3 linked regions of the Ovis aries genome follow. The main gene of each other region encodes a partner of the protein of the gene in region 2 in a complex. Links are inferred from orthologs where the notes say so. Each region holds a gene or a part of one and is shown on either strand. Other genes may lie near its edges. The genes, in order: PPME1, PPP2R5C and CRYBG1.

Region 1 (4,425 bases), on a different chromosome or scaffold from region 2:
AAAATTCAGGAAAATAAGCCCCTTGAGGAACACATAAAATTCACCAATATATGCTCTTCTTTCCACAGTACTATAAAGCAGCATCTTTCTAAAGAACTTTATTTTCCAGAATAAGCAGTTAACCTAAATTAAGAGGATCAAACCATCTATTTAAAGAGGTTAAAGTGAAAGTCACTCAATCATGTTCAACTCTTTGCAACCCCATGGACTGGTCCATGTAATTCCCTAGGCCAGAATACTAGGGTGGGTAGCCTTTCCGTTCTCCAGGGGATCTTCCCAACCCAGGGATCAAACCCAGGTCTCCCACATTGCAGGAGGATTCTTTATCAGCTGAACCACAAGGGAAGCCCTCAAAGAGGTTACTGCTGCTGCTGCTAAGTTGCTTCAGTTGTGTCCGACTCTGTGACCCCAGAGACAGCAGCCCACCAGGCTCCCCCGTTCCTGGGATTCTCCAGGCAAGAACACTGGAGAGGGTTGCCATTTCGTTCTCTAATGCATGAAAGTAAAAAGTGAAAGTGAAGTCGCTCAGTCGTGTCCGACTCTTAGGGACCCCATGGACTACAGCCCACCAGGCTCCTCCATCCATGGGATTTTCCAGGCAAGAGCACTGGAGTGGGGTGCCATTGCCTTCTCCGTTAAAGAGGTTAAGTTACTAACAATTAAGCTAATCAGTAGATTTTAGTACATGTGCTGCCCCAAGTGGATGCTAATCAGATTTTACTCTCTTAGCATTTTTCTTCAGTTCTTCATCTTCAGAGAACTTGTTTTGCCAAAACGAGAAGCTAAGCTCTAAACTTATCTGAAGCACATATGGTTATTAAAAGGCTAGTATTTTTATGTATTTTCACAGAAGAGCACAGGAATACTGAAAAACCAAAGTTTAGATTAAGAAAGGCACCAACTAAGATACATATTAACAGTAAATGCTACATTAATTTTATAGTCCAGGTTAATCTTCCCCAAATAATCTACCACAGATCAGCTTGCAGATCCTCCATGATCATGTTACAGCCCTACCTTAGTCTTCCAAAGTCAAAACAATCTTCATTTTACCTTACATGCAGCCTTCTGCCACCTCTTCGTACTGTGTGCGTTCACTGACCTACCTTTTACCTTCATCTGTCAAGGTTTTCTCATTTTTCTACTCTGACCCATGGCCAGGTCTCCACTTCAAGTTTTTGTTTCCTTCTCCGGTTTTTCCAACCATTCTCACTACCCCTCTACCCTACTGTTTTAATCTCCTTTCTCTCCATTCCTAGGACCTGTTTTCACAGCACTGTATCTCCTATCTTTGTCTCCTTTTTGGTAAGCTTTTGTACATGTTACTTCTTCAGAACCTAAGATTTTTTTTCTCTAGTCCTTATTCCAAGAATATCTATCAATCCATCTCTAGAATTCCAAACACACTCTTGATTACCACATACCTAAGTATTTTTTCTATCCCTTACAGTCACTAGTCTCCAGAATCCTGTCTGATTCTACAAACACACCTCAAAACCGACTACCTGATCAATTACCTATTTTCTAGCAATTACCTCTCCCAGGTGCAACTCATTACACTCTCTCTCCTACATCTTAGATCCCCCAACCCGGCCCAGTCATTCAACAACCTAAAATTCCAAATGCCAACACAGCTCCTCCCATTCGAGCAAACAGTGGTTTCCCTCAAAACATTTTAAGATGCTACTCTCAATACTTCACTGAGTTTTATCAGACCAGTACATAACTTCCACCAGACCTACCTGCCCTGCAAAAATCAATTGCCCAAATCTTCGTCTTTAACCTTTCCCAGACCTTCTGTCTGCAGTAAGCCATTAGTTAAACCCGTTTTCTACTCATTTCTCAATCTCTGGAGCCCACACTCACTCTCTAAATCCCTGCATGCTCTCTCTCATCACTCCTCCCCTTATTCCCTACCCTCACTTCTCAGCACATTCCTATCACCCCTACCCCTAACAGTCTTCCTGGCTATCCTATCACCCCTACCCCTAACAGTCTTCCTGGCTATGTTCTCCATCTTTCCTTAGGCCTATTACCCACACTTTCTCAGCATCCCTTAAGAGACCTAATCTCTAAGTCACTTGCTCACTCCCTGAATATGCCTCTTCACCTTTAGAAACTCTCTCCAGAACCTTCTGCTCCCTAGTTCTCTTTCCTTCTCCAACCCTACCTCAGGTGTCCCGTTTCCCCCAGCTTCTTTCTCACAGTTTCTCACAGAAACTAGATAAAGATTTACTCCTCCCAAATCTTTCCCTAGTTCTCCTCCTAATTTCCCTCAACTTTTCACTCAGTCATTTCTCATTTCCCTCAACCGTCCCTGGAAGATTTCCCTCCACCTTTGTCACAACTCTTTTTCCTTTTCTCAAGCCTCCACCCGTTCTTCTGAGGTGCCTCCTTCATCTCTTAAACTATCTTCTCAGCTTCCTCAATCTCTGCCTCATTCCCTTCTCCCTCCAATACTATTTGTCCTCTAATTTCCAGTGACTTGGCGCCTCCCCTAGTCCCCAGATCTGCCTTCTACTTCATGTAAAGGTCTCCAGGCCGCCGCCAACATTCTCTCAATCCTTAGCCTCCCTTGCCATGCCACTCTAAACGCCGAGAGCCACCATTCTCCAACGGTCGGGGCCTGGCCTCTAGGGAGAAGGGGTACGGGTCACGTACCCCATTCGCATCTTGGCTCCGCTCTGACTGCCCCCGCTGCCGGGTAGCGGAGGGCGAGAGGGCAGGCGCCCAAGATGCATACTCTTCTCGAGGGCCGACATGAAGGGGAGGCCGCAGGTAGTCGAACAGTAGCCGAAGCTTCGTCCCAAGCTAAGCGCGGCCCAACCGGTCACAGCTCACTCCCCTAGCGACGCCCTGTAGCCTTTAGACAGCACCCAGCTACCGGCAGCACCGCCCACCGGCTCTGTAAACTCCACCCCCTCGCCCCAGCACTTCCACCGGAAGTGCGCAGCAACACTCCACAAAGGGTGCTGGGTAACGGAGTCTCTGACCCTTCAGACCCCTACCGGAGAACTCCACGACCTTCGCCGGAAAGAGAAGCGCTCCTATGTACCCTGGGCAATGGAGTCCGCAAAGAGCGCGTTCTGCGCTTGCGCAGTTGGAGGCGACCGCGTTCAACCCTGCAGAGGTAGCGTAGCAAAGCATCCTGGGTGTTGTAGTCTACTGGTAGGAAAGCGTCTTGGCGCCTTCTTTTCCCGTCGCTTCCCAGAGACTGTTAAAGAAAGAACCACTTCTTCCTGCCTCCCAGGCTGCCCAGCGGCGCCGGTTGCTGGGGAACGCCAGCGCCCTGGGAAGGGATGGCGGGAGGCTACAGCTTAGGTGCTGGAGCCGTAGTTGAGTTGGTGAAGAGCTCGGGGTCGTCATGAAGCAACGGAAAGCTCAGGGGCCTGGGGGCGGCCGTAGCCGCAAGAAGAGAGGTAATCTGGACGACCAAAGGTGGAAGAAAGCTTAGTTGGGCGATTGGGCGGAGTTCGGGGAGCGGGGCGCTAGGCATTCTAGGAAGACCTCCCACAGCCGCCTGTTAAAAAAGGGGGGAAGAGGATTGCGGAGGGAAAATAAACCCAGGGCATCGGAAGGTTAAAAGAGTGCATTTGACCCCCCCTAGAATGGAAACGGTATAGGGTCTTGACTAGGGGACAAAGTGGGTGAATAAATGGAATGAGGGGAGGGCTAAAAGGAAATGCTTCCAAAGGAAGAGAACAAAAAAATTGTAGGTTTTGTTTTGGCTTTTACTTTTTAAAAATTGAGGTATAAGTAACATATAACATTATGTTAGTTTTAGGTGTACGTTTGGAGTGGATATTTGTATATATTTCGAAATGATTGTCAGTTGTCTCGTTAGCATCCTTCACCATACATAGTTACAATTTTTTTTTCTTTTGCAGAGAACGTTTAAGATCTACTATTTAGCAGCCTTCAAACACACAGTACACTACCATTACCGTCACCAAGTGTACCTTAAATCCCCGTGACTTAGGAATGTTTTTGATAAGCGTGTGAGGGCAGGAAAAGGGGATGTAGAGCTTTGCGGGTCCGTATGGGACTGGAAGGAAAACAAGTTGGAGAGTGTGTCGGTAATCCTAATAGGCAAGAATCACGTTTTAGGCCGTAGCGAATCCCCCCAAACTAGCACACAACAGAACTCGATAAATGTTAGTTGAATGACTGAGGTGTGAGGCAATCATGAATCATGAAGGGCTACAGATGGGAGTAGAGAAAAGCCAGTTACAGAGGAGAGAGAAAGAAAGACTGGGGATTGACAGTGTGATAGGAGGTGAGGGTATGAAGATCTCTGAAGGATTTGAGATGGTGAAAGTGTTTAACAGGACTTTATCAAGTTAGTCCACTTAAGGAGACCAGGGGAATGTTAGCTTCAGCAAGAACAGTCACCCTAGGAACCCAGGGCAGATCAGGAAACAAAAT
Region 2 (3,548 bases):
GAGCAAGCACCTGCCAGAAAACACTCGTGCCAAGTCAATCACTTGATAGCCAATAGCACACATCTCTGACCACTCCCGAGTGGCCAGCGTGCCAGGACCGCTGGCATGATACGCAAAGTATACTTCTCTGTGCTTTAATAAAAATATTCAGGGACTTGCAGAAACCATATATGAAAAGTGCCGTTTTGCAGAGCCGCTATTTCTCACGGTTCTTGGCAAGTTTACCTGTGAAGACCGTAATAATGTCAAGGTTTGGAAAGAGTTTTGTGTCATATCATTTTAGGACTGTTTCTAGAAATGTTATTTGGATATTAAGGTTCATTTATGGCAAAGGCAGGAATTCTGATTTTCTCTCCCGGAAACTGGTGTAAGATAGCTTCAGGGGCTGCCGATCAGGGTCACAGCCCTTGTAAAAGCGCTCTCATCAGTGAAGCCTAGTTTGCCTTCGACCCGGGAGAAACTCAGAGGGAAATTCTACCCTGAATTTTATGTCCATTCCATGCTGAGTTGTAAAACAAAGCAAAGCGAGGCAAAACAAAAGCCTTTCAGATACTTAAAATATTTAATAACTGCCGCCGACAGGCATTCCAAAGAGAAGAAACATTTTCATAGAAAAAGGCAGTAGTAAGAACCTGGGAGCTGGAAACCAACAAACGCAAACTGAGAAGGCAAACGTGACCGGGGAAGCTTCTGGAAGGAGAGAGAGAGAGAGAGAGAGAGAGAGAGAGAGAGAGGGACCTGCTGAGTCTTCCTGTGTAGCCATTTAAAACCAGGGTGTAAAGCAGAGAGCAGCTACACAAGCTACAAAGGTTAAAAAACAAACAAACAAAAAATCAGAAACATGGGAGGCAGGAGAGAGATGTCATGCAGATGGTCACCCTGGACGAGCGGCCCTGGTGGAGGGGTGTGCCGGCGAGCATGCTGTTGATGGCGGGGCAGACGAGACAGACGGGAGTGCTGCCCCGGACACCTCCCCGGAGACATGAGCCGGGAAGGTGCGGTCTCTGTCCGCTGTCCCCGGAGACGTGAGCCGGGAAGGTGCGGTCTCTGTCTGCAGCGGGGCAGCGGCTCTGAAAGGAAAAGCAGCTCTGAAAGCGGCTATTCGGGAAGTGGGGGGCAACATCGGGGTGGGTGCATGGAAAGAGTGCACGCTTCCACTACTTAATTCAGGACAGAACTCATCAGAGTCTCCTAAGGGACCAGATTCCTTTGTCTTCACCATCACAAGCTGGAATGACAGGGGAAAAAAAGGGAAAATACTTCATGTACACAGCATTGCCAGTTCTTTTCCTAAATATAAAAAAAAGCCTTATAAATACATTTCTATGTACTGGAGTAAGGAATACCTTCACTTCCCACCTTCCGTCTTTCTACACCTTCCTTAACTGCATGCTCGACACTGCTTTCCTCCCGACCGACTGTTAAAAATGAGAATTGCAAAACATTTTAAACGTCTCTGATATATGAATGTCATTCACATGAACTTCACTGGTTCTTTTTGGAGGTTCTACATAGGGTTACACAATTTTCTTGGAAGAAATACAAGCCACAGTTCTGACAGGTCAATACATAACTGAATTTCTCCCCAGAACCCCAACCCAGTACGTTGCACGGCCACTGGGGTCTCCTCCGCTGGAGAAGATTCTCCTGCGTGCACCTCACGTCAGCGGTGAGCCCACGTTCAAATTACTTCGAAGAAATGTCGAGTTATTTTGGAAAAATAAACCTAGCTGAAAATAAACTAAAAGGGGCAGTGACAATGTTCACATTACTAAATATAAAAACTGAAAAGCCTGGTTTTCAGCATAACCTCTTAAGTCAGTTTGGTCTCCAAATGAGGAATATAGATTTCCCCTGCATCTCAGCATCTTCTCTTTGCTTGAACGACAGTGTGTTTGAGGATTTCAGGACTATGGCTCCAAATACTTTCAAACTGACAAGAGCCTGTCATATCAAATATTATAGCTAAGAGACTGCACTATAAACTGCTTCATCTAGGTAGGTTGCTGTTTGCGGGGGGTGGGGGTGGGGGAGTTCAACTGATCCATAGAAATCCATAATAAGTCTTGAAATTGGGTGGTGTTAGTCTTCCAAAGTTTATTCAGAGTTATCTTAGCTATTCTAGGTCCTTTGCATTTCTGTATATGTTTTAGAATTAGCTGGTCAATGTCTTAAAAAAGAGAAGGGTGACTGTTGGGATTCTGACTGGGTTCTGTTAATTTGGGAGAGAACTGATACCTTAATAGCACAGAGGCTTCCAACACAGGAACAAGATCCATAGACACTTAAAGGTAGCATGAGGGGCGGGGAGGGGAGATTTTGTAGGAACGTCAATTACACAGAAAGCTCAGTCTTATAATCTAATTTCAAGAGTTTCATGAAAATAAACTGGCAAACCAAGAGCTCTCCGAGAGACGCCCTGTCTACACCCGGTGACTCAGGACTAAGGACTGGATGAGCAAAGAGGCTGCTTCTTTCTCCACCGTGGAGGGAGGGGAAGGAGACGTGCCCTCCACATGCCCTCCAGGGGCCGCTGGAAGATCAACCAGCTGGGAAGGAGCAGCCACCAAGGAAATACGAGAGCTGACTTTCAAAGGTAGTCTTTCTCAAGGCAAGAATGCTGTTTTTTCTAAATCCCCTACAGAGTCGGCCCTGAGTCAGAAATATACCCAAAGATCGACAATTATGTAATATGTTCATTACACTTTGGGAGGAGTCTATCCTTTTCCTGGGTTTAATTATCACGTCAAATGACGTCCCCAAAAGAAAACCCCTCCAGCCCTAAAATATTTAACGTATCAGGACTGGCTTGTAAGCTGTCGTTTTCCCTTTCTGTGTTTTTGGGCCTGAGTAAGCCAAAGACTACCGTGAGGCTAGACTGAAGACCACCCACGGGCAGGCTCGCTGCCAAGAGGGACCCTGACACGCACGTCCTCTGCCCGCCTGCAGTAATGATGCCAGCGCTCACGTTTCTAGCCCACCTGAGGCTGTAAAACTGAAACGGCAATCCAAGAAATGACTTCAAATTCCTTTCCAAGTTAAAAACAAAACAAAACAAGCCTTAGTAAGAAAATTAACACCCCCATAAGACTGAGAAAAAAGATAAAGGTTTTCATTGTTTTTCATTCAGGCTACTCATTGCTAAGAATATTGTGAGGAAAATGATGGAATCCAAACTGGATTAAGTAAAAAATGCATCACTGATGTTTTCCCACGGTAGTTTCAGTGTTTGCATCCACCTGCCTTTCCCTGAACCTGAGGTCAAGGGCTGGCCGGGCGGGAGGAGGCATGAGGGGGTCCGGCAGCCCTGAGAAGAGGGGGTCTGGGCCCGTGCTGCCCGGTGGGAACACAGTGCCGGCCACACACACAATTCCAGACTGTCTAGCAGCCGCGCTGAAAAGGCGGGAAGCAACGAGTGAAAATTACTGGAGTAACATTTTTTATTTAACCCAGTATATCCAAAATATTATCATTTTAACACCTGGTCAGTAACAGAAAACTATGAATGAGAGCTTCCTAGGTTCTCTTCTGTACATTAAGCCTGGGAG
Region 3 (3,643 bases), on a different chromosome or scaffold from region 2:
TCTCCCCGGCCGTCCAAGAGGTGGGGGAGCGGCCCCCTCTTGTGCTCGGGCTTGATCTCAGGCAGTAGCGAGCTGCTCTTAACCGTGAGCTCCCGGGGGATGACCCGGGCCGCCTCCTCCCCGCTTTCCTTGGCGGCCGGGCTGGGGCCGGGGTCTGGCGCCTTCTTGAGAGGGGAGTCCTTGGCCGGAGCCCGCGGGCCACCGGCGGGCGAGGTGGGCACGGCCTCGGGGACGCGGCTCCGGCCCCTCCTCTTGGTGGGGGACGAGGTGGGCGGCGGCTGTTTGCTTCGCTCCGGCTCCCCTCGGAGCTGCCCTTTGGGGCTGGGGCTGGGCTTGGACTCGAGGCCGGCAGCGGAGGCAACGCCCCCATTGGGGGCCGCCTGCGGAGATTTCACTTTCTTTTCTGCACAGCCGTTCTCGGCAGCCGCGTCTGGCGCCACCTCGTCCTCGAACACCGTGTCGTCCCGGGGCGCACAGTCGGGCAGCGGTGGGTCAGCGCCGGGGGAGTCGGTGGATCTCTGCGACCGCCTCCGTCTCCCAGACCTGCGGCCGCTCGACCTCTTTTCCATGTCGTCGCAATCGCCGCAATCTTCCGCCCCGGGGCTGATCACGACCGGCTCGCCGACCTGTGCCACCTCGGTCTTACTCAAGTAGATGTCCAGAGTCAGCACTTTTGCTGGGTGGGCGCGCTCGCGGGGCCGGCAGTCTTGCCCCGGGGACTCGGCTTTGCCATTGACTGGTGCTGAGCCCGCCCGGTTCTCCGAACCCTCGGCGGGAGGGTCGCCGGGCGAAGCCGAAGAGTCCTCCGGGACTTGGCTCAGCACGCCCTGGGGCTCCGGAGAGCCTCCGTGGACACACACGAGGTGGGGCCCTTCGGCGGTATGCTCCCCAGCGGGCGAGCCCCGCACGCCCCTCGATCCCTGGGTGGGCTCCTGCTCGCTGCCAGCGCCGGGCGAAGCGTCCTCCCCCGGACTGCGGATGAGCGCCTCTGCGCTCTCCCGCCTGGAGGAGTTCTCTAATGAGGAACGCAGCTGCTTGGCAGTGGCGGTGGCATCTGGGAAGGTCTCTCGCTCTGCCTCCAGAGGTTCTAATTGGGGTGAATCACTTTCACAGCCCTGCTGCACAGCCGCCGCTGCATGGCTGCCCCGGCCAGGTGATCGTGTGGCGTCCGGGGGGGCTGCCTGCATGCAGCCCTCGGGGTGTTCACCCTCCGGCTCCTGGCACTTCTCCTGTGGGGAGCCCTCCTCGCACACGTCTGTCGGCCTTGGTTGGCCGCCCAGAGGTTGACTCTTCTCAGTCTCCCTTTCTGGGAGTTTGGAAGAGGTTACTTCTTTGGGAGAGCCTGGTTTGGCATTTGAGCTGGTGGGACTCTCTAACCCATTTCTGCTGTTCCTTCTCCTTCCGGCCGTGAACAGAGTGCCAAGTTTCCCCAAAACTGGCTTCCTTTTGTTCTCTTCTGGTGGTTGTGCTCTGGACTGAAAAATAAAAGGGGATGGGAGACACAGATGTGAGAATCCTGCTTTTCCTATTAGTATTAATAGTAAGTACATTATGGAACTACAAGCCAAAATAGGCTTGAGTTTCTAATTGAAAGCGAGAGTTACATTTTCGCATTCATTCCAACAAAATAATTTTTTTTCACTTTTTGAATTTTTCTCAAACACTATTTCTGCTCGGTGCTACCGAAGAGTAACATTTCCTTTATCTATAGAAGGAAAATCATGAGAGAAAATTCGGAACGTCCAAATAATCACACATGCAAAATAAATAACTCCCAGTTCTGTTTTGCTTTATACCTCAGTTAGTCACTCAGTAGTGTCCGAGTCTTTGCAATCCCTTGCACTATAGCCCACCAGGCTCCTCTGTCCATGGGATTCTCCAGGCAAGAATACTGGAGTGGGTAGCCATTCCCTTCTCCAGGGGATCTTCCTGACCCAGGGGTTGAACCTGGGTCTCCTGAATTGCAGGCAGATTCTTTACTGTCTGAGCCACCAGGAAATCCCATAAAGATGTAATTCCAAACAGCCATGTCTGCCTATAGGGCAGCAGTAAACATGCTAAAGTATGTTAAAGTGGAATTCCCCACCCCCCTCCCCCCAAATACCTCCACTTCTTTCTTTAGGCAGGAAGAAGAACAAGGAAAAACAGTCTTCTCTTCCAGAACAGAAAGAAGCCACTTTGGGTTCAACTGAAAAACCTTAAGAAATCGAGTTCAAGTACGTGGGTGTGCCCCCAGCCAAGTCGGAGGTTCTCAACTGGCCAGGCCGTGCCCGTCCAATGGGAGAAGCAGGTGGACATTCAAACATCTGCTGGTCCCCAGGGAACACAGCTGGCCACTGCCCAGCTCACCCAAGAGGCTGTTGCCCGTGGGGTGTTCCTGGGTGTCAATATGGGGGCAGGTGCTGGAGGGAGGGCAAAGGTGCAGGGTGACCACGTTGTAGGTCCCCCGCCATGCGTCACGGAGGACAGAAGAGCGCAGGACTCTCCCACGCTGACCTCGGCCAGGGATCGATTCCTCAGCAACCCAATGGGCTCGGGGTCCGACCTATCCATGGGAAGGGAACCACCTCCCCCCCCACAGCCCCCACCACCTGCGAGAGCCGCCCAGTGCCCGTGCCCATAAAGGGGAAAACCCGTTCCTATTCCATAGCCTGGGGCAAAACGGCCGGCGCCTGCACTGGAGCGGGAAGCCAGGAGCCCGCTCAGAACAAATCAATAAAAGCAAATCCGCCAATGGGCGCCCAGCGAGCGCAGAGCTGGTAGCCAAGGGGCCGGGCAGGCAGGAAGAGGAGGCCCGCCTGCGGGACGGAGGGAGGGAGCTCAAGCGGGAACCCAGCCTGGCTCCCAGCGGAGGGAAGTCTATCCTGGTGACAAGCCCACTGAAACCCAACCCCACACACGTCTGGCTACAACAGATTTAATATTAAGATTACCTCTTTCACCTGAAACCCAGGAGCTAGCTTGACCCCCACCTTTCCAGAAAGGTGAACACACAGGGCAGTTTTTACATATTGACTGTTTACAAGAGAGGTTCCTGAATCACTCTTTAAAGCTTGCTCCATTTCATTTGAAGTATATGCAGCCAGTGGACTTTGGAGATGGTGGTAAACAAAAAAGACTAAGATAAAGCATGGAATTAACAGGGTCCACAAGCACTTACTGAGACAGCCCTGTTACTATATGCTGTGCTGTGCTTAGTCACTCATTCGTGTCCGACTCTTTGTGACCCCATAGACTATAGCCTGCCAGGCTCCTCTAGAATACTGGAGTGGGTTGCCATTCCCTTCTCTAGGGGATCTTCCCCACTCAGGGATCAAACCCAGGTCTCCTGCATTGCAGACAGATTCTTTACTGAGACACCAGGGAAGCCCCCTGTTACAGTAACATCATATAATTCTGTAACGGCAATGTGAGGTGCTTGTTACCCTACAGCCGAAAGGAGGAAAGGAAAGATCCAAGCTGAGAGACTTCAAGTATATTACGTGTGGGGGCAATATCAGGATTCAAGCCCAGGTCCTCATCTTCCAACCCCACCTCCCTCAACCCCACCCTACAGGATGGTGCAATGGGCACCCCTGAGCCAGAGTTAGCCCAAGAGAGTAGACTGCAGACCACACTTCCGACAGGAGCTCATGAGGAAGTT

What was found.
Region 1: the proteins of PPP2R5C (region 2) and PPME1 are in contact, whole or in part, in a cryo-EM structure (PDB 7SOY), measured with the Homo sapiens proteins. The link is inferred for Ovis aries from reciprocal best matches to the Homo sapiens genes PPP2R5C and PPME1. Residues at the interface, in NP_002710.2 of Homo sapiens: Asp180, His187, Arg188, Tyr190, Gly191, Leu194, Arg197, Ser230, Ile231, Gly234, Phe235, Ala236, Lys240, His243, Asp313, Gln341, Tyr348, Glu353, Tyr354, Glu399; in NP_057231.1 of Homo sapiens: Arg37, Lys38, Arg39, Asn192, Lys217, Val251, Glu252, Gly253, Ile254, Ile255, Glu256, Glu257, Pro345, Gln346.
Region 3: the proteins of PPP2R5C (region 2) and CRYBG1 are in contact, whole or in part, in a crystal structure (PDB 6VRO), measured with the Homo sapiens proteins. The link is inferred for Ovis aries from reciprocal best matches to the Homo sapiens genes PPP2R5C and CRYBG1. Residues at the interface, in NP_002710.2 of Homo sapiens: Lys183, Thr184, His187, Tyr190, Gly191, Leu194, Arg197, Ala198, Arg201, Glu226, Ile227, Ser230, Ile231, Asn233, Gly234, Phe235, Ala236, Lys240, Glu242, His243, Pro265, Gln266, Tyr269; in NP_001358171.1 of Homo sapiens: Pro1136, Phe1138, Ala1139, Met1140, Pro1141, Pro1142, Ile1143, His1144, Glu1145, Asp1146, His1147, Glu1149.

The regions. Positions count from the first base shown.
Region 1 is NC_056068.1:52,286,407-52,290,831, reverse strand, and holds the start of PPME1 (protein phosphatase methylesterase 1), read right to left. Parts: upstream 2,868-4,425; 5' UTR 2,763-2,867; coding exon 2,662-2,762; intron 1-2,661. Other genes in the region: C2CD3 (C2 domain-containing protein 3), read left to right, coding at 3,365-3,419. UniProt on the Homo sapiens protein: Demethylates proteins that have been reversibly carboxymethylated. Demethylates PPP2CB (in vitro) and PPP2CA. Binding to PPP2CA displaces the manganese ion and inactivates the enzyme.
Region 2 is NC_056071.1:64,443,692-64,447,239, reverse strand, and holds the end of PPP2R5C (serine/threonine-protein phosphatase 2A 56 kDa regulatory subunit gamma isoform), read right to left. Parts: coding exon of another isoform or gene 3,486-3,548; exon of another isoform or gene 3,426-3,485; intron 1,419-3,425; coding exon of another isoform or gene 1,371-1,418; exon of another isoform or gene 1,347-1,370; intron 1,229-1,346; coding exon 875-1,228; 3' UTR 544-874; downstream 1-543.
Region 3 is NC_056061.1:30,725,501-30,729,143, forward strand, and holds part of CRYBG1 (beta/gamma crystallin domain-containing protein 1), read right to left. Parts: intron 1,476-3,643; coding exon 1-1,475. UniProt on the Homo sapiens protein: May function as suppressor of malignant melanoma. It may exert its effects through interactions with the cytoskeleton.